Sus scrofa: one gene and its partners. The protein of the gene in region 1 purifies or fractionates together with the protein of each later gene. This does not show direct contact. Links are inferred from orthologs where the notes say so. Each region holds a gene or a part of one and is shown in the gene's direction. Other genes may lie near its edges. The genes, in order: PRKACA, AKAP7, MAP2, AKAP5, AKAP13, myomegalin and AKAP2.

Region 1 (4,046 bases):
ACAGTGTCTAGAGGTGGCTTTTGTTGTCACAGCTGGTGGAGGAGAGGAAGGTTCTACTGACATCCAGGTGGCAGACTGGGGATGCTGCTAAACACCCTACAGGACCACTCCTCACTCCCACGCCAGCATAGACTGGTCCGGCCCTGAATGTCAGAAATGTGGCAGTGGGAAACTGTCCTCAGTATATTAAAAGGGCACCCTAAGGAAGGGGCAATTTTGCTACTCTGCTCCAGGAGGGGCCGTTCCTTTTGCATTGCCTAGACAGAGGGAATCCCCATCTTGGCTGTGCCCCATTCCTCATCTGTAAAATGGGAGTGATGATCATAGTGCCTACGTGATAGGAGTGTGGTACGAAATAACGTATTTAATGAGCGCTAGCTCACCACTGCCATGAGCCCAAGTTGGGGACCCAGTAAAAAAGGATGGCTAGTGAGCGCCCCCTCCCAACATCCCCTTGCTCCTGCAGCCCAGCATCCTCCAGAAGCTCAGGCTGTGGCTGAGAGAGACCCAAGAGGACCGCAGCCTGGCCCCGGGGCCTGCAGCTATCCTGCGCCAGGCCTTATGAATGACGACGGCCGGCGGCCGGGCGACCTATGACCCGCGGCGCCTGCTGCTCTCCTCCCCCGCTGGCAGGTGGACAGCGGCTGCGCCGGGGTTGCGGGGTGGGGTGGGGGGGGCGCGGCGCCAACCTCGGCTGGCCGGCAGCCGCTGCCGCACTGAGCGGGGGCGGGGGACTGCGGCGAATACGGGGCTGGGCGAGCGCCCGCCTGGACCGCCGCCTGGGGCTCCGAGCGCTGCGCGGCCGCCCGCCAGCCTCGGCCGCCCCGCCCGGCGGGTCCAGGCAACAGGATGAGCCTCCGCGCCCCCCCACCCGGTGGGTCGAGGCTCAGCCTGCCGCCCCGCCCGTCAGGTCCGGGCGGCGGGCTGAGCCTCCGCCCCGCCCTCTCACCTCGGGATTGACACTGAACGTTCGGCCGAGGGTTTGCCGGACAGCCAGCCTTGGCCAATTGACTGCCTCGCTGGGCGGGCCCCAGAGCCTGTCGGGAGGCTGGACCAATCAGACGCGTCGGCCCGCCCGGCTGAGGCCTCAGAAGCGCGCGAGTGGCCGGGCGTTCTAGGGGCGTGTCAGGGGCCGGGATCCTATGGCAGCACGGGAGGTTTGCGGAGGACCAATGGACTGCGGCGTAGCGCCGTCAGTCAGGGAGGCCTAGACCAATGAGCGGCAGGCTGCGGGGGCGTCACGGACAGCAGCAGCAGCGGACTTGGGCTGAGGTTCCCGGGCGGGCGGGCGCGGAGAGACGCGGGAAGCAGGGGCTGGGCGGGGGTCGCGGCGCCGCAGCCAGCGCAGCCAACCCCAGGGGCCGCCGCCGCCGCCGCCGCCCAGCGCGCTCCGGGGCCGCGGGCCGCCTCCAGCACCCGCCGCGCCGCAGCTCCGGGACCGGCCCCGGCCGCCGCCGCCGCGATGGGCAACGCCGCCGCCGCCAAGAAGGGCAGCGAGCAGGAGAGCGGTGAGTGCCCGGGCCGTGACCCCGATCGCGGCCCCGCGCTGCCAGCCCCCTCCCTGTCCATCACCGCTTGGCCCCTCCCCTTATCCCCCCCATTTCTCTCTGTTTACCCTACAGCGAACCCTTCCCCCTGTCTGTCCAAGGTTGGGGCCCAAGGCCCGCAGAAGACCCCGTAGGAGCCCCCTTGCCAAAGACCGTCCCCCTGTGCAAAGACCGTGCTCCCCCCCAGCTGTCACTGCCAACCATGGCACGTATAACCGCTGAGGCCCCACATGGGGCCCTGTCACTACCCCACTCTCTTCTTTCCTGGTACCTCTGCACAGATTCTAAATCTCCCCCCACTTCTTCACTCACCTCTTCCACACTCACCTCTTCTGCCAGTCTGGGAGTGCTGTGGGGTCTGCCTCCACCCTGCAGGGACCTTGGCCACTTGGTGACCACACCCCTCCCCCCTCCAGCCCCCGCCATCTTTCTCCTGCCCTTCCCCTCTTCACCTTATCACAGCCCCCTCCAACCCCACTTTGCCTTCCTTGAGCATTTCTCAGGGCCACCTCCAGAATTGTTTTTCCCTTCTGTGTCACTTGACATGGGGGACAGGATCTTTCTGGGTCTCTCTGCCCCTCTCTCATCCTGATACTCTCTGTCACTCTGCTCCTCTGCTTGTGCTCCCTCCTCCAAGCAAGCGTCTGTCCCTGGCTGGGGTAGCAGACTGTTTATGAACCTAGAGAACTGCTTCAGTGCTTCCAAAGCCAAGTTTGAGCTGATCTTGCTGGAAAATTCATTGCGTCGTTTTTCCTGGGTTGGGGGGTGGAGGTGTCAGCAGAGAGCCCCTTCCCATCTCTGGAAGGCTCTAGGCTCCTCAGAGGGCCCCTCAATAAATGGTTGTTTCACAACTGAGGCTTCGTCATTCACCCAGTCCCCCAGGCTTCTTGACCCGCTCCGGGCTTGGGATGAAGAGTGTCTGGCTTTAACAAGCCTCCTTCAGCTTGAGCTGGAATGGTGAGAAAGAGGACTCAAGGGATGGCAATTGGGAGGAGTAGTGGGTGACATCTAATGCCTCTCTGCCAAGGGACAAATAGATTCTGATCATTCCCAGGGTTCAACCAGAGAAGAGCCTATTTCTCCCTCAGCCCCCAAATAGTGGCCTTTTCCAGCCAGCCAGGGAAAGAGATTTTGGTATCTGGAAATGCCTTCAGAAATGGCCTTGAGCCCCTTCCTCAGTTCCTCCAGCTCTTAAATTGTCATCACTCCAGGCATAAAGCTGGACCTCAGCTAGGATCCCCTTCCAGTTACCCAGAAATAGTCAGAGCTTAAAAGGGAGGCCACATCCACATAGGTCCTTCCCATTTACTGGTCTCAACCCGCAGCGTCCGAGTTCCCCGAAGGCTCCCTCCCAGAAAGACCCAGGCATGAAAGCCAGGGAACTTGCTTCCCATCCGGATTCAAATGGCCAAATTTTAGAGTCACTGAGCAACCATGGAGAGGCCTGACAAGTCACCGAGGGGCGGGGAACGGGGAGGCAAGTGCCTGTAGCTGAGCGCTTGATGACAGAGGAGCAGGTGGGTAGTGACCAAAAAAGGTCTGGGCCTGTGCTTGGAGGGGACTAAGCAGAGGGGGAGGAGCCAGGCCCCCAGCAGGTGAGGCTGGCTGGGAGGTGGAAGGTGGAGGCAGGCAGCTGTGTATTTCAGAGGCTCAGTTGAAAGTTGGGGAGATGACATAGTCCTGAAAACTCTCAAGGCATATCAGACACATACAGTGGGGCCGGGGGTGGGGGTAGGGGTGGGGGGAAAGCCGCACAGGGAAAAGGATCCCCAAGAAACAGATCAGAGGCTCTGGAAGGAAGCGCTAATTCCCTCAGATCACTCAGGACTGGAATATCAAGATGAAGTAGAGCCACTATTTATTGGGCATCTAGGATGTGCCAGGCTATGTGGTCTCCATAGATCTGTCTGCTCAAGTGGTTTTCTTTCTTTTTTTTTTTTTTTTTTTTTTTTTTTTTTTGTCTTTTTGCTATTTCTTTGGGCCCCTCCCGCGGCATATGGAGGTTCCCAGGCTGGGGGTCAAATCGGAGCTGTAGCCACTGGCCTACGCCAGAGCCACAGCAACACGGGATCCGAGCTGCGTCTGCAACCTACACCACAGCTCATGGCAACGCCAGATCGTTAACCCACTGAGCAAGGGCAGGGACCGAACCCACAACCTCATGGTTCCTAGTCGGATTCGTTAACCACTGCGCCACAACGGGAACTCCTCAAGTGGTTTTCATAATGGGCTGTCATCCGAATTTTCTACACGTGTTCTCTGAGTTTGACATAGGTGATGCCACAGAGGCAGGATTCTCATCCAGTTCCACCTACCAGCCAACTTCCTGGACCCTGGGATGTCCTAACTCAAACATTCTCCCACCTGCCTTCCTGATTTTTTGCTATATCCACTTCTATTTTGTTAACTTAAAATAAAAAATTTGACTCATTTTTGTTCAGATATAAATCTTGATCTGTCCTGAGCAGTAGTATAAAGGAAATCATGGGATTGCTATGC
Region 2 (4,174 bases), on another chromosome or scaffold:
CCTGTTGTCCTTCTCCAATTAGCCAGCCCATAATTGCAATGAACCTGTCAACCAAACACTCAACTTGGTAGAATTATTTTACAACCAGATTAACGAGCTTTATGACTAGTTGTATAGGGTCTTTCTGCCAACTATTGGGGTTGTGCGCAAGTCCTTGCTTCCATGTTCAGTATAGGATGCATTCAAGATAAGGCAAGTGCTATCATTCCCAAGATAGTCTCTATTAATTTGTTGAAAGATGAATCTACTTTTCCTTGCTGATTGGCTTCTTTGCACTTAGAAAACTCCAGAAGAATTTGCTTTTAAGGGCCGCACCTGCAGCATATAGAAATTCCCAAGCCAGGGGTCTAATCAGAGCTGCAGCTGCAGGCCTACGCCACAGTCACAGCAGCCTGGGATCTGAGCTGCATCTGTGACCTACACCACAACTCACTGCAACACCAGATTCTTAACCCACTGAGCGAGGCCATGGGTAGAACCTGAATCCTCATGGATACTAGTGGGGTTCTTAACCTGCTGAGCCACAAGGGGAACTCTTCCAGTAGAATTCTGATCCAAGATCAAAAGGTTTTGTTTTTCTTTTTAAGGCAGCACCTGCAGTATATGGAACCTTCTGGGCCAGGGGGGTTGAAATGGAGTTGCAGCTGCAGGCATACTCTAGAGCAACACTGGATCCCAGCTGCATCTGAGATCTATGCCACAGCTTGCCTCCAACACCTGATCCTTAACCCATTGAGTGAGGCCAGGGATTGAACCCCCATTCCCACGGAAATTATGTCGTCTTCTTAACCTGCTAAGCCACAATGGAAATTCCCAAAGTTTCTTTTTTTTTTTTTTTAAGTAAAATTTTCCCCCTAGTTGTCAGTCCTTTAATATGCAACCACAAATAGCTGCTTTCCATTTAATTTCTAGGCATGAAACCAGGGTTAAAAATTTGAGACACTGCTACAACTTGGCTTTTTTTTTCCTTTTGGCCGCACCCCAGGCACATGGAGGTTTCTGCACCAGGGATCAAACCAGCGATCCAGATGTGACCTGCAACAAGGTCAGATCCTTAACCCCCTACGCCACAAGGGAACTTTGGCTTTTTTTTTTTTCCTTTAGTGCAAAGTAAAGATCTAATTATACAAACTGACAAGGTCTCATTCCTGCACATCTCGCTCTTTCCAAGTATTTTATAAGCAGAACGCTGTGTTTTGAAAGCTCTTTGCAAAACCAAACACATGGATTCTCAGGAGAACCCAGACCAGGGAGTTCCTTCTTTAAGGGCCCAATCTCACCCCCTCCGCACGGGAAGGAAAGGCCGGGCACTGGGAAGAACTGAGCGCAGCGGAAGACCTTAGAGGTCCCCGGCGGGGGCGGGGCAAGGAGGGGGCGGAGCGTCGCCGGGCAGAGAGGAGCCCTCTTCTCTCCCTCGCGCAGTAGTTGCGGCTTCCCCCGCCTCCCTCGCTCGCGGGAATCCGGGTACCGCGGCCACATCGGGTCGGCCCCTTCCACTCCCTCCGGGCGCGCGGCCTGGGCATGCAGCTCCTGCGGGGATTGAAGATCTGGGGGCTCGGCGCCTCCGCAGGCCTGGTCGCCGCGGCCCGAGCCCCCGCCGCCTGCCGCGGCCACCGCCCCCCGCTCCGCCCCAGCGCGCCGCCGCCCGGCCCCCAGCCCCGCCCCGCCTCCCGCCTCCGCCCCGCGCCCAGTCCCTGGCCGCAGCGCCCGGCCGCTGTCGCCGGCTGCAGAGGCCTGCCGCCCGCTAGCGCCGCCACCATGGAGCACCCCGGAGCCGGTGAGCCCGGGCGGCCGAGCGGGCCGGGTGGGGCGACTGGAGCCTGGAGGCGTGGGCCCCGCTCGGCCTCGGGGAGGGCTTGGTCTCTCCCCCAGACCTTGCAGCGCGACCCTGAGCCTGCCCTGCTCCGGGGCTCCTCTCCCGGCTCAGCGCGGGACTCAGTGTAGCCTCGAGAAAGCCGTGCACTGGGGGTGTGATCAGTGCCTGCAAGCAAGGCTTTCAGTTAGTGCACGCACTGCTGCTGCCACAGAGGCCGGGGGTGTTTCACCTTTGAAACACCCTAAGTTTCGCACCCTAAATTTCGCTTTCGTTTTCCTTTCTGAGTTTGTGACCTTTCGGAAAGTTCATGCCAACGCACACCCACCGACAGTGTTTGTGTGGCCAGCAAAACCTAGAAAAACTCCACTTTTATACTTTATCAAAATTAAAGACCTGAACCACCACTTTTAGGATTTCCTGCTAGGATTTTATTCTAAGACCCCTTTAAACTGGCGCCAAATCTGCGGTAGGGCCGGGAATTAATTTCTAGTTTAAGTCAGCATTTCCTGTGAACTGAACTTTGTGGGTAGAGCGAGGGTTAGAGGCCGAACTTTTGGTGAAAGGGACCAACAAACCGGTTAGAGAAAAGGTGCTCTTCCGTGAGATTTTTGTAGTATAAACGCTTAAAAAGGTATAAAAGGCGTGAAAATGTTATACAATAGTTTACAAGAGTTAAGAGAATGGAAAAGCGAAGACCTTGTAGGTGGATGCTGAGAGCGGGAGTTTTGAGATGGATGCGGTTACCGAAGTGAACGCATAGGGGGTTGTCAAAGAGAAAGGTTTCACATCCCGGTGTCTTGAGTGCTTTTAGTGTATGGCCAACGTTCGAATCCTGATGATGTGCCTTTAAGATGTTTGTTTGTCTTCTTACATTTCATTTCGGATATTATTGGCTTATTTTGTGTATTTATAGTGATTTGGATTGTACTTTTGTTCTCTTTCTCGTTCATTTTTTAAACGATGTGGAAACCAAAACATGGAGGTCAGGTGACTTGTTGATTATCACCCAGCTCAATATTTCTCCAGATGTAAGATGTTTCTATTTTTAGTAGCTAGGCCAAGACCAGCATGAATGATGGGATTAACCCTTTCCACTGGCTCTTGGGAAGTCTCCCTGCTGTATACCTAGTCGAGTGAATTGAAGAGAATCTTGCCTAATAAAGTTGTACTTTGTTATCCAAATAGGAAGCTTGCATTTTGTGTGACAAAGGATGAAGTATCCTTGTTTTCCCCTATTGGTCTGTGACAAAATCATTTTCTAAAATGCATGTATATTCAAATATTAGTGTATATATACTTCATGTATGGTTTTGTAATATATTTTAGATGTATGCATTAATTGTTTTTTAATGTTTTTTTAATGTACCGATGTGGCCGCGGTACCCGGATTCCCGCGGTACCCGGAAAGTAATATTAAGGAGTTCTCATTGTGGCTCAGTGGAAATGAATCTGAGTAGCATCCATGAGGTTGAAGGTTTGATCCCAGGCCTCGCTCAGTGGGTTAAGGATCCAGCACTGCCGTGAGCTGTGGTGTAGGTCACAGACACGGCTCGGATCCTGCGTTGCTGTGGTTGTGGTGTAGGCCAGCTCGGATTCCACCCCAGTCTGGGAACCTCTGTGTGCCATGGGTTCGGCCCTAAAAAGATTAAAAAAAAAAAAAAGTAATATTAATTCTATGTAAGATGTTTGGATAGCAGAAACAGGAAAAATACAAATATATTGAGTACAACTATGGCAGCATTTAGAAATAATTTATATCCTTTAGCCTTATCCTATGTAATTGCCAACATAGCACAAGTATATATAGTTTTATATGTGCTTTTTAAAAGGTTAGTGTAGGTATCCCCTGCTTTTCATAAGTTCTCATTATGCCACTTCGCTTTTACATTTATTTTATTTGTTTATTTTTATATTATTTTTTGTCTTTTTAGGGCCGAACCCACGGCATATGGAGATTCCCAGGCTAGGGGGTCTTATCAGAGCTATAGTTGCCGGCCTACACCACAGCTCATGACAACGTCAGATCCTTAGCCCACTGAGCGAGGCCAGGGATCAAATCTGCGTCCTCATGGATGTTAGTCGGGTTCTCTAACTGCTGAGCCACGACAGGAACTTCTCCTGGTACCTCTTTTGTAAGAAGAACATCATTGCCAGATCAGTTTACAGAACCGTAAACACTGTTAACTTTCCATCAGGCTTTTTGCTGGAAAGGGCAGGTTTTCGTGGTTGAGTAACTGGTTTCAAATTATAGCCCCAAGACCTACTAGCTTAGTAACCTGGGGTAGGTTACTTCATCGGCTAGTTTGTAAAATGAGTATGATAAGAATACCTCCCTGGAGTTCCTGTCGTGGCGCAGTG
Region 3 (4,015 bases), on another chromosome or scaffold:
AAGTTGTAACTACTATTGAAACTGCACAGACCATACCTCACTACCTTGGCAAAACTTAAAAACACCTCGTTAGTACTCCATATAGAAGCTTGAAGTAATTCTGAGTTGCACTTACCTCTTCTACTTACAATGAAGTGCTGTTCTCTGATAATAAAGATTCCATGGTAAAGATTCATGTTTTCTCAATTGGTCACATCTCTTTCAAGAGAATTTAAGATGTGATTCTTTTAAATGGTCAGGTTTCAAGGTTGAAGTTTTCCTTGTTAATTCATTACTTCTGTATCATTCTTCATATTCTCCACAGGCTCTTCTTACTCATTATCTAATTATATCTTCGTATTAAACATACCAGAGGGGTAGAGCTGATACTTTTAACACATTCCTGCAGGTGATTTAGATTAAATGAATTGACTCTGGATCATATATCTAGCTATCTAGAATGCAATGCCCACGAAAGCAGGATTTTTTTCCCCTCTTTGGTGGTAGGGGTGGGGGTGTTCTAAGATGTTGCCACAGTGCCTAGAACAGTGCCTGACACATAATAGATTTCAATACACATTTGTTGAATGAATAAATGAATGACGGAATCTTATTAGTGACGCAGAAGAGTCTAGAATTCTCTAAATCCACAACCATTGTTCCTTTAGTACCCACAAGAGTAGTTCTCTGTTTTCATGCTCCCCTCAATTTTCCTCCGTCTTTTATGGACGTGAACGTCCTAAGGTTTGTGGAGGCAAGACCAGAGAGCCCTCTCCAAGGAACCTCACCCTCACAGCGATAGAGCTGGGAAAGGAGAGGCGTCTATGGGGTACTCCTTCCTGAGAGACTAAAGCTGAAGCGCCTCTGAGTTCACCAAAAACGTCAGATAAGAAGTCGGCTGAGTCCCTCTGTCCCGACGGCGCTGATCTCACTTTGCTTCTGGTAGCGGTGATGGAGGAGGATTCTTCTAGAAAGAGTCTCACAGTCCCAGACCCAAAGTGGCCCTGGCTTAGCCGGCACTCCGAAGCTGCTACCCTCGCTGTCCCCGCGGGGCGGCGGGCTGGCTGCGGCAGGAGGCGGGGTGGCAGTGCTCGCCTCCGGGACGCTGCGGCTTTGCCCGCGCCAGCCCCGCCCCCGCGACCCACCGGGCTGCCAAGTCGGGCGGGGCTTGCGGGGGGCAGGAGGCGGGGCCTGCTGGGGGCGGGGCGGCCGCGCGGGGAGCCAGCGGCCGGGGCGGCGCTCAGACTGGGCCGGGCGCTCCGGCTGCGCGGGCTCTCGGCGGCCGCGGCGACAGCAGCAGCAGCAGCATCCTCCTCTTTCTTTTCTTCCCTTCCGTTTCTTTCTTTTTTTTTTTTTTTCTCCTTCCTTTTCTCCTTCTTCCCTTGCCCCGTCTCCCCTTTTGCTTCTTCTCTAGAGGACGTTAGGTCCTCGGGTCCCTGAGTAGTGGCAGCGGCGACCGCGGGTGCATCCAGTTTCTGCGCCCAGGTAAGAGAACAGTCACCACCTCACCTCTGGTTCTACAGGGTGTTTCTCCTTCTCTCTCGCCCACTGTGTAGAGGGAGGAGAAGGAGCCCAGGAAAAGAGTGAAATGGAGAGAGGTTTGTCTCGTCCTCTGTCTTGGAAGCAGGCACAGGTTGACCGAGCTGCCCAGTCTCCTACCTGGCGGAAGCTTCAGGCCCGGCCTCTTTAGGTGTCACTACTACGCAGCGGGGGACCAGGGCTGCTACCTGGGTTCTAGATTTGTTAAAGGGTGTGTGACCTTGGTAAGTACCACTTTGAAACGCCCGTAAACTTACGTCGGGTTAGGATACCTGTCTTGAGAGCTAATTTTACCTGAGCTGAGAAAAGACAGGGGGTGAATTATGCGAACATAATAGGGACAGGATTTGGAGGTAGAGGATTTTTTTTTTTGTCCATTAACTGCAGAGAACTGACGAGCGAGCAAGTTAGGGAAGCCTTGTCAATTTGAAATCATTTTCCCTGTAATCCTTCCAGAAACAGCTGGAAGAACAAGATTGATGAATATTTATAGTTTTAGGAAAATGAAGAATTAACGTCAGAGGGCGGAACACTAGAAAACAAATGAGTGTGGATTAGCTGAAGCGTCCACATAGTCCTTTTTAACCGATTGGTGTGGAGAGCAGCATCTACAGTTCATCTCTTCTCTTCTTTTTCTTCCTAAAAGGCGTTTGGGGGGCTGTAGTGCTGGGTGCCTTCCCTACCCAACCTCGTCTTTTGTTTAAGGGTGGAAATTTAAAGTAAGAGTATGTGAGAGGAGCAAGGAGTGAGGATGTGTGTGTTTGGGTGTGTGTAGGGGGGAGGGGGTAATAAAACGGATAGGGTCAGAAAAAAAACATCCTTGAAAACTGGAAGTTGATGTTATACTGCCTGGCATCAGGGCTTTGGGATTTTGTCAGAAAATAAAAAAGCTTTCATTAACAAGCCCATTTGTAAGTTGCTGTGAACCATCAGCTGTAAGCCCTTAGCATAATGCTCTTTAAAACTGACTCAGTGTGAAGGGTTTTTGTTTAAAGGCGAGCGTACACAGGAGTATGGTGGTACACACTACACACACACACACACACACACAAAAACCCGTTCACATATATAACACACTGTATTCCTAATATTGCAGTGGATTCTTAGAAGACTAATGTTTAAATATTTATCCTTGAAGATTTGGGTTATGGTGTGAATGAAATCTATAGTGCAAAGCAAACAAACATATGTTGGTGGGTGGTATTTAATTTTTGGGTGTGAGACAAAGGGATTAATGGATATCCGTAAGGTAGTAACTTAAATGTTAAAATTTATTTAAAAATGATCTTTCTGGTCTGGGAGAAGAAATGATTGAAAACTGAAATTGGGGTTTGCAGCCGCAGTGAGGCGATGGAGAACAAAGCCTTTTATGTGAGCCACATTATGCAAAATGTCCCATGCTTGAGCTGCAGGTACCAGCCCAGTATAAAGCATAGCTCTGTAACCCTGTCATTTCACTGTGGGCAATTATAATTTTTTTGGCAATGAAAGTAGATTAAATAAATAAAAGCTCTTTAGAATGCCCAAGAGGAAGATTATAGCCTTTCTTTTGAATGTGACACAAAACACCCATTTAACTGGGCAATTGGTATCTATATGTTTTTCTGGAAACCTTTGTGAATTTATAAACAATTGTGGATGTTTCAGTCATTCCCTCTTCATGTGCAAAAGCATTTCCCCCCTCAAGAAAAGATTAAAGGCATTTTTGTCTTTCAGTAAGGAGTATTATATTTGTGTGTGTGTGTATATATCTTAACATTGATTCATTTTATCTGATTAACAGAGGTTTACATCTGGATTCACAATTTGCATATTATCAGAGCTATTGTGCCTTTAGGATCTGCACTACATGCTGTTTTTATGCCTATGGTTTATTTAATCTTAATTTTTAGTATTTCACAATATAGTATTATTTAATTTCCAAAAGTTTTTTTTTTTGCTTGTTTTTATTTTACCAATAGACAGAAAATTGCCTAACATATACCTGGAGATCTAAGCAATTTAAAAATTGAGCTCCTTTTTTGAAAAAGATTTTTTTTTAATACATTAATTTCCATTTTCTTTCTCGCCTCTCTTGACACCCCCCCCCCGCCCGCTCCTTATCATATAACCTGTTTCTTTGTGACTCTGTCTGTGATGCTTTAAGTTTCTGGTTATGTCTATCAAATGAAGAGCCAGAGGTCTCAAGAATTTCAAATTTAGGATTTGTTAATTCTCTGTAGCAAATCTCCCAGGATGACTTGTTTACAGCACCTTCTCAGGGAGGAGAAGAAGAAAGAATGTGCTGAGAGAGCATGACCCAGTGAAACTGGCACAGCCATTACCTCATCATCGTAGCTACTTCAGATTCATTGAGAGAGCAGGCATCCTCTCAGTGGAAACCAAACACCAGGAGCACACCCATCTCAAGGCAGAAGCCCTTCCTCTAATAATGTTGCTCTGCTGAGGTTAAAGGAATGTTTTCTCTTTTATGTATTTCTCTTCAGGGATCTTGAAC
Region 4 (2,893 bases), on another chromosome or scaffold:
AGTTTCTGAAATACAAGTAGAAAGCAAGGATGAGAAGAGATCAGCAGAAGTTAGTCCTCAGGATGAGAGGCAGGAGGAAAAAGCATCGATGCTTTGCTTCAAGAGAAGGAAGAAGGCAACCAAAGCAAGGAAGCCCAAAGCTGGCTCTGATGCTCCTGAGGCAGCAAGGAAATTTCCCCCAGAAGCGGGAGCTTCTGATCAGCCACAGCCCCCAGGGGGAGCCTGGGTTTCAGTCAAACGCCTTATAACATGCAGGAAAAGATCAGATTCTTCAAAGCAGCAAAAGCCCTGTAAGGCTAAAGTGCAGCCTGAAAGCAAGGATGCTGATCTTTCTAAGAAAAAGGCAAAATCCAGACTCAAGATTCCCTGCATAAAATTCTCAAAAGGGGGGAAAAGAAGTAATCATTCCAAAATTATAGAAGACTCAGACTGCAGCATTAAAGTCCAGGAAGAGGCTGAAAGTTTGGATATAAAAACTCCAGTCCAGTTGGATGACCAGGCAACAAAAACCAAGTCAACTCTGGATATAAGGGAAGATGTCTCACAGAAAGATGGTGATGAGGTCTGTGAATCAAATGTGAACAAGAGCATAACTTCTCCTGGAGAAAAAGTGATTTCAGTAGAACTTGAGTTAGGTACAGGGCATTCTGCTATTCCAACCGGAACGCTAATCCTTGAAAAAGATATTGAAACGACTGAAGAAAAACCAAGCATTCATCCTCAGCAAGGGAGCCCACTGGAAACCTCAGACATAGAACATCCCCTCCCAGTGGTTTCTGATGTTCCTCCCTTACCTGCAGTCCCAGATCAACAAATTGTGGAAGAAGCCAGAAGCAGTATCCTAGAAAGTGGACCAGATTGGAAAGACCACGAAAGTAGAGAGATTGTAGCTGAGGAGAGTAAGCCAAAAGATACTGAATTGAGCCAGGAATCAGATTTTCAAGAAAATGAGATCACTGCAGAAAAACCCAAACCAGAAGAAAGCAAAAGAATGGAGCCAATTGCTATTATTATCACAGACACTGAAATCAGTGAATTTGATGTTAAGAAAGCTAAAAATGTCCCTAAGCAATTCCTAATTTCAATTGAAAGTGAGCAAGTAGGGGTTTTTGCTAATGATAGTGGCTTTGAGGGTAGAACTTCAGAACAATATGAAACACTCTTAATAGAAACAGCTTCTTCTCTTGTCAAGAATGCTATCCAGTTGTCTATAGAACAGCTGGTTAATGAAATGGCCTCTGATGATAATACAATAAACAATCTTGTACAGTGATTTAATTTCTAGATCATGGGAGGAAAGAAAAGCTTAATGGTGAGTTATTTACATATTTGTGGCATTCCTTATTCAGTAACAAATGAGAGATTTAGCATCTGTGGAATTTAAAGGTCCAATTCTAGTCCAGAAGTGCTAAAGAATTAAGTTGTAAAACCCTCCCTACCACTGAAGTGTAGCCACTTCTGGATCAGAGGAAGTCAGTACAGATTACAATGGGAAGTGACATCCAGGGAGTTGCTTAGCAGGTGGAGATTGGGATGCTAGGGAGAAGGAAGATGGATTTTCCGTGCACTTGCCATATATGCCATAAGCTCTTTAACATCCTCTGATGTCACAAAGCCAGGTTTCCTTTTGATAGTTCAACCTTGTGTATAGGTTAACATTCACATTCGCTTCCAACAAAACAACTTTTTTTTACAGTGTACTTTTCTGTTGTTTAAAATGAATAAGGTGAACTATTTTTGTGAATGTGTGACTTACAGTTTGTTACACTCCTAGGCAGTAGTCTTACCTCAAAAAAATACTGCAGAAAAACTGATTAAACATGACTGGTTTTCTAGTCTTGCTTAAGTCCTTTACAAAAGCCATTCACAAATTACTTCAAACAGGCAAATAATTATCAAATACAAAGGTGTGGAAACAGGGAGTATATTTTCCCTCTCCATCTTCCTTCTGCTCAAAACAGACAGGTACAAATCCATTTATACATAGAATCACCTGCTGAAAACTTAAAAACAAAAACAATAGCAACAACAAAAACCAAAAATGGAATATTACTTTCCATCCAGGAGAAGGTGAACTTCCCAAGTGACAAGTTATCACGGATACCATAGGATTCCTCTCGCAAGATTAAATCGCTAGAGGCTACATTCATTGATCTCTCCCCAAAGAGGGGAGAGTGGATTCAAAGCCAGCCTGGCGTAAAAGTCCTAGGAAATCATAACATTTTAGTGAAAATATTATTCATTCTTGGCCAAGAATGAGCCAAGAACATGGCTGAATAGAAAGTGAAAAGTGTTGAGAGACTCTGGATATTGGAAATGAACTTTTTCATCAGTACTGATTCAGTCCAGCTACTCTCTTACCAAAAAAAAAAAAAAAAAAAAAAAAAAAAAAAGAATATAACAAGAAGGGCTTGTTTGCATTTTATTCAGTTATTTAAATCATCATTCTCAATGATTGCCATATTTTTTGAAAAAGTCAACCTACTGCAACCTTTCCTTGTGTGAAATGGCCATAATACTTCAACGCACTTCCCTACCTCACAGGTCAGGGTCCATGTTGTTCCCTACTGTCTAAACTGAGTGACAGTGTCACTCTGACAGCAGATGAAGTAATGACAACTTTCACTTGAGTTGTAGGGTATTTGTTATTAAAGATATTTGTACATTCTTGGCGAAAAGAATGTACATAAGATAATTTCAAGCAATCTGGTGACTTTTTGCATTCGTTTGGACTGCATATACAAAGTATGTGTTAATTTGTCTCATAGAATCTTTGTTTCTTCCTGTAAGCACATATTGAGACATCTGGCAGAAGAACCTTATCTGATTTTGGAACCAAACAAGATAATGGGTAAGATTCTTTGCTGAAGTGTAAAATTATTCCCCCCATATT
Region 5 (3,500 bases), on another chromosome or scaffold:
GTTGACTTGATTTGGAAAAAGCTCGGCAGTAATTTCATTTAAGGGCATCTAGGGTCAGCTCAATGCCTGAGGCTTCTTTGGGAGCAGGCTTTATTTCTGTGACCAGCAAGCCAAGAGACTCCATAGCAAGGTTGTGTGATGCACCTGCCTCTGCCTCTCTGAATCATGTTTGTTCCAGAACAGGTCTCACTTTATTTTCCTCTGAAGGGACTGCCAAAAGGTCAGGTTTTCCTTTAGAGCTCTTCTTACTGGATGAAAAGAGCAGTTTGCAGATGCCAAAGCCACCTGTAAGGTATGGGAATAATTTACAGGAAATCCTCCTCTGCTCTAGATCTTCAGCCTGGCATGGGGAATTGATGTCAAGAACAAGAGAGAATTTATTTGTGTTTACTTAGGTTGATTTCTCATGTGATCTTAGAAGGGCTGGAATGCCAGTGAGTTCTCACCAACAGAATTGTTGCTTATAGGTGACATATTTTCCACTGGACAGTTTTTAAAAAATATCTTCCATTTCCTCCTAGAAAACAAACCTGAAGCAGATGGATAGTCTTAAGCCTTCAATGGTGACAGCAGAGGATCCTTCAAGTCTGCCCGGTGACCATCCCTGTGCATCAGAGCCCCCAGTCAGCCAGCAGCATGCTTCTCCTGAAGATGCAGAGAGCTCTCAGTGCTGCCATGGGAGCACAATGGGGCAGATTGAAACTTCCTTTGATTTATCAAGTGGAGTTAAGGAGGACAATTCAGACTGTTTCTGTAGCAAGAAAAATAAAAGCCCGGAGAAAGGAGATGAGGTGGAGCCGGCACCTTTTGTGGACTCTGGGACTATGTCTGATCCTGACAGCTGCCTTCAGGGCACACCTGATTGCAAAGGAAAGGGCACAGAAGGTCTTCCATCCTGTGGAATCAGAAATGAAGACACTGGAACAAAATCTTCAGCAGTGGCCACGGACCAGGAGTCTCCAGGCGGTGGAGTCAGTGTCCTGCAGGGAGGCGTGGTCATGAAGCCTGGCACAGCCCAACCTTTCTCTGCAGGTGAACTAGTGGTTAGTTCATCAGATGCCTGTGTCCCAGAGACTGCAGGGGAAATGGAACCTGGTCTCATGAACCCAGATGCCACCATCCAGACCAATATGCTTGAAGTAGAGGGGAGTACAAAGGAAGGATCTGAGGACTCTAGTATCAGCACAGCCGGAGCCTCTGACCTAAAAGTCACAGATGAGCCTGTGGATAAAGCCAGTGTTCTAAACGGTGTCTCTGCTGCAGGTTCCCTGGATGCTGACAAACCTGCTGAGTCTTTATTTGCAGTTAGTAATGGAGAAACTGCCACTGAAAAAACTGTAGAAACTGAAATGTCTAGAAGTTGTGAAGAGAGTACTGATACTCCAGGAGCTCAGAACTCTCAGTTAATTCTAACTGCTGCAAAAGACGAGATTTCAGAAGGGTTCAAACCTGACACTCCCTTAGCAGGCACGTGTGTGGCAGTGTTACCCTCTGATTTAACCTTTACCGGCCCACAAAAAGACGTTATACTAAACCAGAAATCAGAAACAGATTCATCTCATGTTCAAAGCCAAAACAATATATCACCCATCTGTTCTACAACTGGAGTTGATAAACTTTGTGCTGCCTCCACATGCCAACAGAACATGGTGACTTCTAGTGGTGTGTTGGCTGCAGAACACCGTGATGACATAGTTACCAAGCCTGAAAGCACCACCACAGGACTGCCCAGCACACACCTGCCCACTGCCAGCTGCTCAGAAGGCCCAAAGGCTCACCCTGTGAGAAACCCTCAGGAACATGTGGATTTTTGTCCTTTCGAAGTTTTGGATAAAGAAAGCCAAGGGGAAAATTTGAAACTAGAAACATCTTTAACAGATATGCCTGAGGTAGTCCCACATCCACATGTAATTGTCTCCAAAGCTGAGAAAGAGTGGGTGTCAGACCACGCAGGGACATCAGGCAAGACTTTCTCTCTGGCAGGCAGTCCCGGCAGTGAATCAGTAACCAAAGATGACGCGCTTTCTCTTGTCCCCTCCCAGAATGAAAAGGGAACAGCAACTCTTGAACCACATACAGATTGTACAGATGGCCCAGACGGAGACTTGAATGATCCGGAGAAGCAGCCACCAGAAGACAGTGCAACAGGCCTGTGTCTACACTCCTCTGCTCTAGATCTTCAGCCTGGCATGGGGAATACCAGTCCCGTGGGACTTGGTGGGGAGGACGAGGATCCCTGCCTCTCAGCAGCCCCTGAAGTCCTAAATATCGAGGGGGCTGCTGACTCTTCACTACTACATGCGGGTCAGGCCACTTTGGCCTCTGATTCTGTTTTGACTGAAGAAGGAGAAAGTCAGGTGGTTATAGAAAGCCCTGCAGCTCGGGGACCAGATGACAAGGATAAAGCAGTGACCTGTTCCTCCATTAAGGAAGACACCCTTTGTGCAGGAACGTTGCAGGAAAAGCAGAGAATACCACCTCCTGGACAAGAGGCCCTGGGATTCCGTGAAGAACCTAGTTCAGCTGCCTGTGCTGAGGATAGAGCTCCTCAGCACGGTAATTCACTGGGCACACCCTTGGCTCGTCTTAATGCAGAAACTAAACATAACAAGGAAGTGGCCCCACCAGTCTCACTGCTGACTGAAGGTGGGGCTGCCCAGAGCCTGGTGCTACCAGGAGCAAGTCTGGCTGCAGACTCAAGCCAGGAAGCCTTGGGTGCAGAGCACAGCAGCTCACCTCCATTGCCAAGTCTGTTACCAGATGGGTCTGAGACTCTTAACGGCAGTCAGTCTCCTGCTCTGGATGTTGGAGTGAAAAGCACTCAGTCCCAGGAGACCACTGCTTGTGAGGTGAGTGGAAATGTGGCGTTGGATGGTGCCATGGTCAGTGCCCTACAAGGCACCGTTGGGGCCAGAAGAAAGGATATGTCATATCACACCGAGGACATGCCGATCCCACCAGTCTCACTGAGCCCAGAGAAGAATATGATCCTGGGTGTGCCAGGAGCTTTACTAGACAAAGGTGTGACTGGTCTTGAGGACACCGCAATCCCAGAGCTGGAACCACTGGGCCGGGAGAAGGGGAAGGTGGAGGGAGCAGGTGGCAGCTGTAGTCTGGGCGACTCCAAGGAGGCACAGAGGGGTGAGGAAGCGTATCACATCCCGCTGCAGCCTGTTGCCAAAGATCCCCCCACAGAGACAGGGCCCCCAGGCCGTGGTGACCAGGCCCAAGGCAGGGAAAGGGGTGCTGTCCCTGTGCTCTGCGCTGTCTCTGCTGAAGTTGCGCTGCCGCCTGAGAAAGCAGGCTCTATCGAGGAGGCTGCTAGTCGTATAGTGGATGCTGTCATAGAGCGAGTCAAGGCCTCGGGAGCACTGATGACAGAGGGGAAGATCAGTCATGTGTTCCTGTCCAGTCCTTCCGAGTCAGGCCCAGAGACTGAACAGCTAGAGAGTGCTTCTCCAGGGAAGGCGCATGCTGTCCAGCCTGCGGAGACCCCACCA
Region 6 (4,105 bases), on another chromosome or scaffold:
ATCAAAATAGAGATAGTGCAAAAGATCCCTGTTATAGTAATACTTAGGAATCTTGTTCCAAATGGGAAGATAGTTCTCTAAATTCAACAATTTTGTATGTAATTCTTTATTAATTGGTTTTCCATTTATCTGCAGAACTTTGATCTTTTGGCAAGATTTGTCTGAATACAGTTTAATAAGAGAGTTCTAATTCAGTAGTTTTCAAAGTCTGGTTCTCAGCAGCAGCTGCTTGACCCAGGAATTTTCTAGGAATGCAAATTCTTGGACCCCTTCTCAGAATAACTGAATTAAAACTTGTTAAATCTTTAACAAACCCTCCAGGTGATTCTGATGCATGCCAAAGACTAAAACCCACTGTTTAAATTAATTGTTTTATTTTGTAGGTTAGGAAATTAAGGGCCCGATATAAGCGATTTGACTTAGGACAGATAGCAGACACGTGCTTATGAATGCACTTATCAATCCATTGTGAGGGCAGAAAGCATGTATATAAAATTAATCATTTGTCTAATTCATTATAGGTTATCATAATATGAAACTTGTTCTCAGTAAAATTTTCCCTTGTTATGTACTTCTGATAAGTTTTAGAAGTATTTATTTTGTTCTAAATCATCACAAAAGCCTTATGTCTCACCTTAACAATATGTTTTTTGTTTCTATTATAAATGTGTGGTGTGGGGAGTTCCTGTCGTGGCGCAGTGGTTAACGAATCCGACTAGGAACCATTAGGTTGTGGGTTCGATCCCTGGCCTTGCTCAGTGGGTTAATGATCCGGCATTGCTGTGAGCTGTGATGTAGGTCGCAGATGCGGCTCAGATCCCGCGTTGCTGTGGCTCTGGCGTAGGCTGGCAGCCACAGCTCCGAATGGACCCCTAGCCTGGGAACCTCCATATGCCACGGGCGCGGCCCAAAGAAATAGCAAAAAAATAAATAAATAAATGTGTGGTGTGTATATGTATATAAAATAATATTTTCCAAGATCATTGGATAGAAACTATGAAAATTTAAAGTCACAATTGAACATTTCATCAAATTTCTTCTGGGCTATATTTTAATCTTCCCAATTTTCAAAGCTATTCTTATGATAGAATGAGGGTTACTTTAATCCCTCAGATTAAACTTTGTGGGCTATATATATTTTTATAATTATTTACACCTTTTTAATCTTTTAAAATTGAACTATACCAACGGATAAAATCTACAGAAAAAGCATTTTCAGTGAGCTTTAAAATTGTACACATCCGGAGTTCCCGTCGTGGCGCAGTGGTTAACGAATTCGACTAGGAACCATGAGGTTGTGGGTTCGGTCCCTGCCCTTGCTCAGTGGGTTAAGGATCTGGCGTTGTCGTGAGCTGTGGTGTAGGTTGCAGATGCGGCTCGATCCCGCGTTGCTGTGGCTCTGGCGTAGGCCAGTGGCTACAGCTCCGATTAGACCCCTAGTCTGGGAACCTCCATATGCTGCGGGAGCGGCCCAAAGAAATAGCAAAAAGACAAAAAAAGACAAAAAAAAAAAATTGTACACATCCATGTAACTATCACCCAAAACAATAGAACATTTTAATCAGTCCAGAAAGTTCCTTTGTGCCCTCTTGTAACCAATTCTCACCTTATTTCACCCCCCATAACCACTTTTGGAATTTCTATCATTATAGAAATTGTTAGACTTTAAACTGTTAGACAAATAAAAATCACACAGGATGTATTGAAATGGCTTGTTTCACATAAGACACTTGAGATTCATTCATGTTGTGGATATCAGAATTCATTCTTTTTTATTGGTGGTTAATATTACATTATGTGAATATATGAAAATGTGTTTATCCTACCTTTTTCTTAGTAATATTTTTCTTATCACAAATCAATCCATACTTATTATAGAAAATTATAGAATACAAATGAGGAAAGAAGAAAGGTATCCATAATCCTACTCTCCAGACATAATCATGATTTAGTAACTTGTATATCCCTGTGAACCTTTGTTTATATAAGTTGTCCACATATATAATATATATATCATATTTTAGAAAAATTCTCATTTTAGGTTCAAGATTTACCACTTAGACTCTAAGTCTTAAATTGGCACAGTTCTTCATTTTAACTATAGAATATTTCCTAACCTTAAAGCATTTAAAAAATAATATATGAATATAGATTCATGCCCCAGATTCAAATGATACATGATATATAGAATAAAAGTAAATGTTCCTGTTCAGCTCCCTATTTTGCTTGCCTCCCCATAGGTAGCCAGTGTTAACCAAATACAAAATCTTGACCAAGACGATATTGATAAGAATCATAAAGTACTGAATTGTTACTTTATAATTTTTCTTCATTTTTTAATTTTTCTTTCCAAGTTTTATTATACAAAAATGATCTTTTTATAATACCAAATGATCACTTTAGGAGTAGTTCTAGTAGTCTACTATCTGTTTTGAGATATGATCTAAATATTTTCTCTGAGAGTGAAGAGTGCTATCTTCAGATTTTTTTTGATTGTTGAATGATTTATTCCTGTCTGTTGTTGAAAGCCTAGATATGTATAGCTCTCTTTCAGTATGTTGACCTTTACCATTTTTTAAAATTATTTATATTGATCTTTACCACTGAAGAAACATATTGTTTGATGGGAAATTGCCTTTTCTCCATTAGTACTGACTTGTATGTCAACTAGCTATATACTGTCATTAAAGTCTAGAGGCTGCAAGTTAGATGCAAAATCTTATTAAGTAATAGAGAATAATACAAAGTATTGTTTAGAGTTTGCTCCTGAAGAGCACTTTGTTTCATTAGCATTTTCCCCATTGGGAAAATATGGCTTGCATTAACAAAGATGAGGCCTCGATTAATGTCTTAATTTGCAGTTTTTGGTCTTTTGAGTCCTTGCTGTTCTTTAGGACAACACTTAAGACAGGGTAGGGCAGGGTAGTGACGTGGAAGTCCAGAAACTCTTTGCCTCTCTGTACAGCACTATAGATTCCAAAGATTATTACTTAATTTCTTCTGACTCCGAAGCTCATTTATCACTGTAGTGAGTTTTACTTGGAACTCTATTTTACCTTCTTGGTTTGGGGGTCAGAACTACACATTTAGGTGAAATCACAGATGTGAAGTTCTGTACCCTACTAAACCCAAAGCTCTAAGGACTGACCTTATCTCTCATGATGGAGCTGATAAGATGTTGTCTTGATGATTAAATAAGAGCAATAAAACTTCATATGTGCAGAGCCCCCATCAAACTTTAAAATTACTTTAAAATAGTCCCATTATTATAATATTAAAATAATATTAACTATTATTTAGTGAGCCAAATTCTGTTAAAGCACTTCCCCCAAATCATCTCGTTTAATCCTCAATAAGAAGTTTGGGGGTTTATTATGAGCTTTCATTGAAAGTATCTGAGGAGTTCCCATTGTGGTGCAGCAGAAATGATTCCTACTAGGAACCATGAGGTTGTGGGTTTGATCCCTGGCCTCGCTCACTGGGCTAAGGATCCAGCCTTGTCCTGAGCTAAGGATCCAGCCTTGCCCTGAGCTGTGGTGTAGGTCGCAGACATGGCTCGGATCTCACGTTGCTGTTGCTGTGGCTGTGGTGTATGTAGGCCAGCAGCTGTAGCTCCAATTAGACCCCTCGTCTGGGAACCTCCATGTGAGGCAGGTGTGGCCCTAAAAAGCAAAAAAAGGAAAAAAAAAAAAAAAGTATCTGAATGTCTCCAGGTTTAGAAGCGTGGGCTCTGTCCTGGAGATGAGATTCAGAAATATTTATGACTGTTGCTGACTTTACAAGGTCAAGTTAGTGAAATCTAGGGTTACTGTAACTGGGGAATAAATGTTCTGCTCTGGGGAAATGATTACTTGGGTCCGTTTTCCTTTCCATCTGGAAGCTGGATACCTCTCAAGCCAGGGAGAGAGTTTTTTATTGTAAGTGGACGTTGACACCTCAGTTTCACCTAGACAGAATTCCAGTTTCCCTCCTTTCTTTGCGTGCATTCCAAGTTCTACACCCAAGGGTGGGTGTCTTACTACTGGATAATGTTGAATAATACAGGATACTAAGTGAAGTCAGTGAAATTCTCAGCCCCACTTCTACAGATTGCAGCACTCCCCAA
Region 7 (3,972 bases), on another chromosome or scaffold:
TGGATGAGGAAAAAAAGAACCAAACCCTGGCAGGTGACTTTGACGCTCAGAAGAGGAACCCCGTGTTTGGGCCACTGGTTCAGAAAAAAGCAGGCCAGAGGTCGGAAATTGGAAGGAGAGTAAGGGGCTCTGACTTTCAGAGCTGGAGAGAGAGAATCACCGGGAAAATGGAAACACCGGTCATGCCTAGTGGACAGTTGGAGACATCTGACTTTATGCTATATTTATATTCTATTTCCTCTGTAGAGAACGCCTTGCTTTTTAAAATCCTGTTTTCTGGGCGGGGTGTTTCTGTGTGTGTGTCCTCTCTCAGAATTTCTAGATGGTCCGTTTTCAAAGGGTCATTAACATTATTTAAATATTCATGAGGGGGAGGGGATTACATGCTGAAATTTCAGACGTCTCCGGAGTGGGGGGTGGCTGGCCACCCCCTCGACTGAGCCCCACGAGGTGTAACAGCTGCCTCCTTCCCCATCGCTGGCTTTGTTAACACGCACGCCCCGACACCAGGCCACCGGCTGCCACATTAGGGAGGGCATCATGACAGCTCTGGCCAGTCAACGAGCTGGGAAACCTCCCTGTCCACACCTTAGTCTCTGGACCCCATCAGGGCGAGGTCCAAAACACACTGAACCGCCCTCCGGGTCGCAGAAACGCACCTCCCAACCGCTCCCAGCGGTTCCGCTTACCCGGACATAGTCGTGGTGCTGGGTAAGAGACGAGGAGCTCGACCCCTCGTATGGGAACTCAGCAGTTGTGGCGATGTGCGGGCTCACACGCACCCACACACTTTCCTGTACACTCGTATGCACGTATGTATACACCAACACACACGATCCCCTGCACACAAGCCGACACGCCCACCCGTGTGCTAACGCGCGTTCATACACCCAGGCACAGAGCCTTCTCCCCAGTTAGGAAACGCTCGGCTGCACGTGCCCATCCCTCCATTCCTCCAGTCTATCCATTCACTCATTTCTTGGTTTCTACGTTTGTGCACAGATTCCGCCAAAGCCAGACAGAAGGTGTGGGTGGTTGGGGAGGGGATGTGAAAGGCGAGGGGCGGACCGGGGCCCTAGGCGCCGGGAAGGGGGCGGGGAAGGGGCGGGCTCCGGGAGCCGGCGGGCGGCGCTCGGCTCACTCCAGCACGCCCCGCGGCAGCAGCTCTCCGCAGATGCGCTCGCCCCAGCCAGGGGCTGCCGAACGCCTTTGCGTGGAGTCTCCCGGACGCCCCAGCGAGGAGGCAGCGGCCGCACCGCGCTGGAGCAGAGCCCGAGGACTGTGCCCCCGGGATCCGGCGCTCAGAGGTGGGTGTCCAAGCTGGGGCGCGGGCGGCTCCGGACTCCAAGTCCTCGGGGCGCTCTCTTGGTGTTGGGGCCTCGCACACTAGGAAAGGGTGGCCCAGGAGGGATTGGTGATCTGGGAAGCCCTTGGAAGCACCGTGGACTTTAAAGGGCTTTTATGTCCCTTGCTTAGTGGAGCGTGTGCGAGGGGGTGGCCTGGCTGGAAAGGGCTATGGCCATGTGGCCATGTGGCTTTGAATTCCTAGGTTTGGGGGAGGGCCAGCTTTTGGCTCCTTTAATCAGTATTTGTTCACTTATATATACTTTAAAAAATAAACTTAGGCATATTACCCTCCTCCCCCCGCCCCCCGCAACACACACTCACAGAGCCGGGCTGTTGAGGAAAAGCAGAGAAAATCAAAAGGCTGTAGCCGCCTTTCCAGACCCGGGAGCCGCGGTGGATGGAGCCACCCATTCCAGTTCGAGATGAAGGCGTGGGTCTTGACTCCTTAGGTGGCAGCGCTGCGGCCGTTTTTTGGAAGTCTAGAGCTTCTGCATGGAGATTGGGACCGAGAAGGGCTGGGTCCCTGCCCTGACCAGCCCGAGCTCCTTCCGAACGGGATCGGGATGGAGGTGGGGGATGCTGAGGAAGGAGGGAGCAGCCGTTCTGTGCGCGGAAGGAGGGGGATCCGGATCCAAGCTGAGCCTGGAAGTTTGGCCTCAGGCTGAGACCCCACTTCTTAGGATCTGGTGTTTTATCCCGGATAAAGCCTGAGGGTTTGTCTCTTTGGCCCCTTTGTGGGGACACTGTGAAGAGCCGAAGGGGCGGATCGAGGTGGGTGAGCGCTGGGCAAACTGTTCTGTAATCGCCGAGGCGGCGCACCTCCCGGGATAGGAGCTAGGAGATACTGGCGGCCCGGAGCAGTTCTAGAGAAACATAGTGAAGAACAGGGGCCTGAATTAAGTTCAGGAGAGCCGGCAGCCTGGTAGTCCGCGGAGGGAGGCGGAACGGACGGGGGAGCCGTGGTGCTGGTGGCGGGTGAGGGCAGAAGGCAAAGCGGCTGTGGGTGGTGGGGAGGGAGGCGGCAGGCCGCGGGCTGGACCCGCGGGAGCTGGACCCACGGGAGCGGAACCCGCTACCTGGTTTCTGAGCTTCCGTGCATGGATGCGAGATGGCCAGCCTTGGGGATCTCTCCTCAGGCCGCAAAAAGAGGGCGCCTGGGAGGAAAGTGACTCGTTTACAGAGATGTTAAACCCAGTAATGCCAGTTTCCCGCGTGGGTCAATAGTGGTTTGGCTTCGATGGGCTGTGTGGTCAGACGTTGCCAAATTTGCACTCTTCCCTGTAGCAGTTAAGTGCTGCACCATTAATTTGGGCGAACCTCCAACCCTCCCACCAAAGTATTTGTCTTCGAAAAGACTTCCCTGTCTCCTCCCCCCGCCCTGTGTCTCTGTCTCTCCTATAGATCTCTCTATAGTATATCTCTGAGTCTGCAAACAGCTTCTCAGAGGAAGCTCCCTTCCATCTTATCAGGGGCAGAAATTAGTACAAACCCATCACTCACCTTTGTCATCCCCCCCCCCCCCCCCCCGATTTGTTTCCTTGGCTTTGTTCTAACTGAAGAGAGGTCATTTAAGCATCACACTTTTCTTCCTGGAAATGGTCCCAATTTAACTAAACACTCTCCTCCTTCTGGCAGCCTCCTTCACTTTGATCAATAAAATTTCAGAGTGGCATGTCTAGAAATGAGGCATATTTAGTAAGGAGTTTACTAGGTTTCTTTAAATAAAGCCTTTTAAGAATTAAAACTTGCCCTTGAGCATCTTCTAAACAGTTACCCATCCAGCTCTCTCCTCAGTTTTGCCATAGGCTCTTTGCTTAAAGGGCATCTTCTCCTTTGAGTGGGCACATCGTGGGCCCTGCAGTCATTCTGAGCTTCACCAATAAAATTAGTCATGAGCCAGGAAAAATGAAAGTACTACTACTTAGGTCTCCAGATCCCTTAGCTAACAGAGTGTTCAGTTAAGTATCGAGATGTTTCTCTGGCAATGGAGAGAGACATCTCTGGGATGCTGAGATGCTAGTGTGAGATGGATGGCTGGGCTTTGAGATGGGACAAACATTTTGAAATACCCATTATCTCATAGTTCTGGCATGACAGTTGGACAGCTTCCTGCCTGCAGAGTTCAGGGTAGTGTTGTCAGAATTTATTTCACTTTCATAAGTGGCTCCTTCTGACTCACTAACCTCAGGATTTCTGGCTAATAAAGTGAAGCAGGTTGTCTTAGTTATCAAGTGAGGGGAAAATGACCCACTGGTTATTTGATTTCTAAACGTTTTGGTATTTAACATAGAAATTACATTTTCAATGTTACTTTTAAAAAGTGCTAACACCCCAGACTTTCTAATTAATTAGTATAATTATTTTCTAGATTCTACTGTCTTTATAGATTTGGTGGACTTTTAAAGCACCCATGTCCCAGATTTCTATCAGGGTTGTCATCACTTATAAGTCTTACTTATCACAGTAATGACAAATGTTTCAAATAAAGATGAAATTGAAGTTGGATAGAGGTCGTGTTGAGGGATTTTAATGATTAAAACAGGAGCATGCTGAAAATTGACTTCTGAAAACAAAGGGAATGATGTCAGTTCCATTTTTATTTTTGTACATTTCTCAACATTGGCA

The links.
Region 2: the proteins of PRKACA (region 1) and AKAP7 purify together in Homo sapiens (affinity purification with mass spectrometry; 4 studies listed by BioGRID and IntAct, with this or other methods). This does not show direct contact. The link is inferred for Sus scrofa from reciprocal best matches to the Homo sapiens genes PRKACA and AKAP7.
Region 3: the proteins of PRKACA (region 1) and MAP2 purify together in Homo sapiens (affinity purification with mass spectrometry; 3 studies listed by BioGRID and IntAct, with this or other methods). This does not show direct contact. The link is inferred for Sus scrofa from reciprocal best matches to the Homo sapiens genes PRKACA and MAP2.
Region 4: the proteins of PRKACA (region 1) and AKAP5 purify together in Homo sapiens (affinity purification with mass spectrometry; 6 studies listed by BioGRID and IntAct, with this or other methods). This does not show direct contact. The link is inferred for Sus scrofa from reciprocal best matches to the Homo sapiens genes PRKACA and AKAP5.
Region 5: the proteins of PRKACA (region 1) and AKAP13 purify together in Homo sapiens (affinity purification with mass spectrometry; 3 studies listed by BioGRID and IntAct, with this or other methods). This does not show direct contact. The link is inferred for Sus scrofa from reciprocal best matches to the Homo sapiens genes PRKACA and AKAP13.
Region 6: the proteins of PRKACA (region 1) and myomegalin purify together in Homo sapiens (affinity purification with mass spectrometry; 5 studies listed by BioGRID and IntAct, with this or other methods). This does not show direct contact. The link is inferred for Sus scrofa from reciprocal best matches to the Homo sapiens genes PRKACA and PDE4DIP.
Region 7: the proteins of PRKACA (region 1) and AKAP2 purify together in Homo sapiens (affinity purification with mass spectrometry; 5 studies listed by BioGRID and IntAct, with this or other methods). This does not show direct contact. The link is inferred for Sus scrofa from reciprocal best matches to the Homo sapiens genes PRKACA and PALM2AKAP2.

What each region holds. Positions count from the first base shown.
Region 1 is NC_010444.4:65,073,630-65,077,675, forward strand, and holds the start of PRKACA (cAMP-dependent protein kinase catalytic subunit alpha), read left to right. Parts: upstream 1-1,246; 5' UTR 1,247-1,462; coding exon 1,463-1,508; intron 1,509-4,046.
Region 2 is NC_010443.5:32,359,349-32,363,522, reverse strand, and holds the start of AKAP7 (A-kinase anchor protein 7), read left to right. Parts: upstream 1-1,374; 5' UTR 1,375-1,521; coding exon 1,522-1,777; intron 1,778-4,174. UniProt on the Homo sapiens protein: Probably targets cAMP-dependent protein kinase (PKA) to the cellular membrane or cytoskeletal structures.
Region 3 is NC_010457.5:112,155,369-112,159,383, forward strand, and holds the start of MAP2 (microtubule-associated protein 2), read left to right. Parts: upstream 1-1,215; 5' UTR 1,216-1,464; intron 1,465-4,015. UniProt on the Homo sapiens protein: The exact function of MAP2 is unknown but MAPs may stabilize the microtubules against depolymerization. They also seem to have a stiffening effect on microtubules.
Region 4 is NC_010449.5:88,541,938-88,544,830, forward strand, and holds the end of AKAP5 (A-kinase anchor protein 5), read left to right. Parts: coding exon 1-1,273; 3' UTR 1,274-2,393; downstream 2,394-2,893. UniProt on the Homo sapiens protein: Multivalent scaffold protein that anchors the cAMP-dependent protein kinase/PKA to cytoskeletal and/or organelle-associated proteins, targeting the signal carried by cAMP to specific intracellular effectors.
Region 5 is NC_010449.5:88,067,384-88,070,883, forward strand, and holds part of AKAP13 (A-kinase anchor protein 13), read left to right. Parts: intron 1-521; coding exon 522-3,500. UniProt on the Homo sapiens protein: Scaffold protein that plays an important role in assembling signaling complexes downstream of several types of G protein-coupled receptors.
Region 6 is NC_010446.5:100,731,319-100,735,423, reverse strand, and holds the start of myomegalin, read left to right. Parts: upstream 1-1,305; 5' UTR 1,306-4,105. UniProt on the Homo sapiens protein: Functions as an anchor sequestering components of the cAMP-dependent pathway to Golgi and/or centrosomes.
Region 7 is NC_010443.5:251,066,564-251,070,535, forward strand, and holds the start of AKAP2 (A-kinase anchor protein 2), read left to right. Parts: upstream 1-1,172; 5' UTR 1,173-1,307; intron 1,308-3,972. UniProt on the Homo sapiens protein: Binds to regulatory subunit (RII) of protein kinase A. May be involved in establishing polarity in signaling systems or in integrating PKA-RII isoforms with downstream effectors to capture, amplify and focus diffuse, trans-cellular signals carried by cAMP.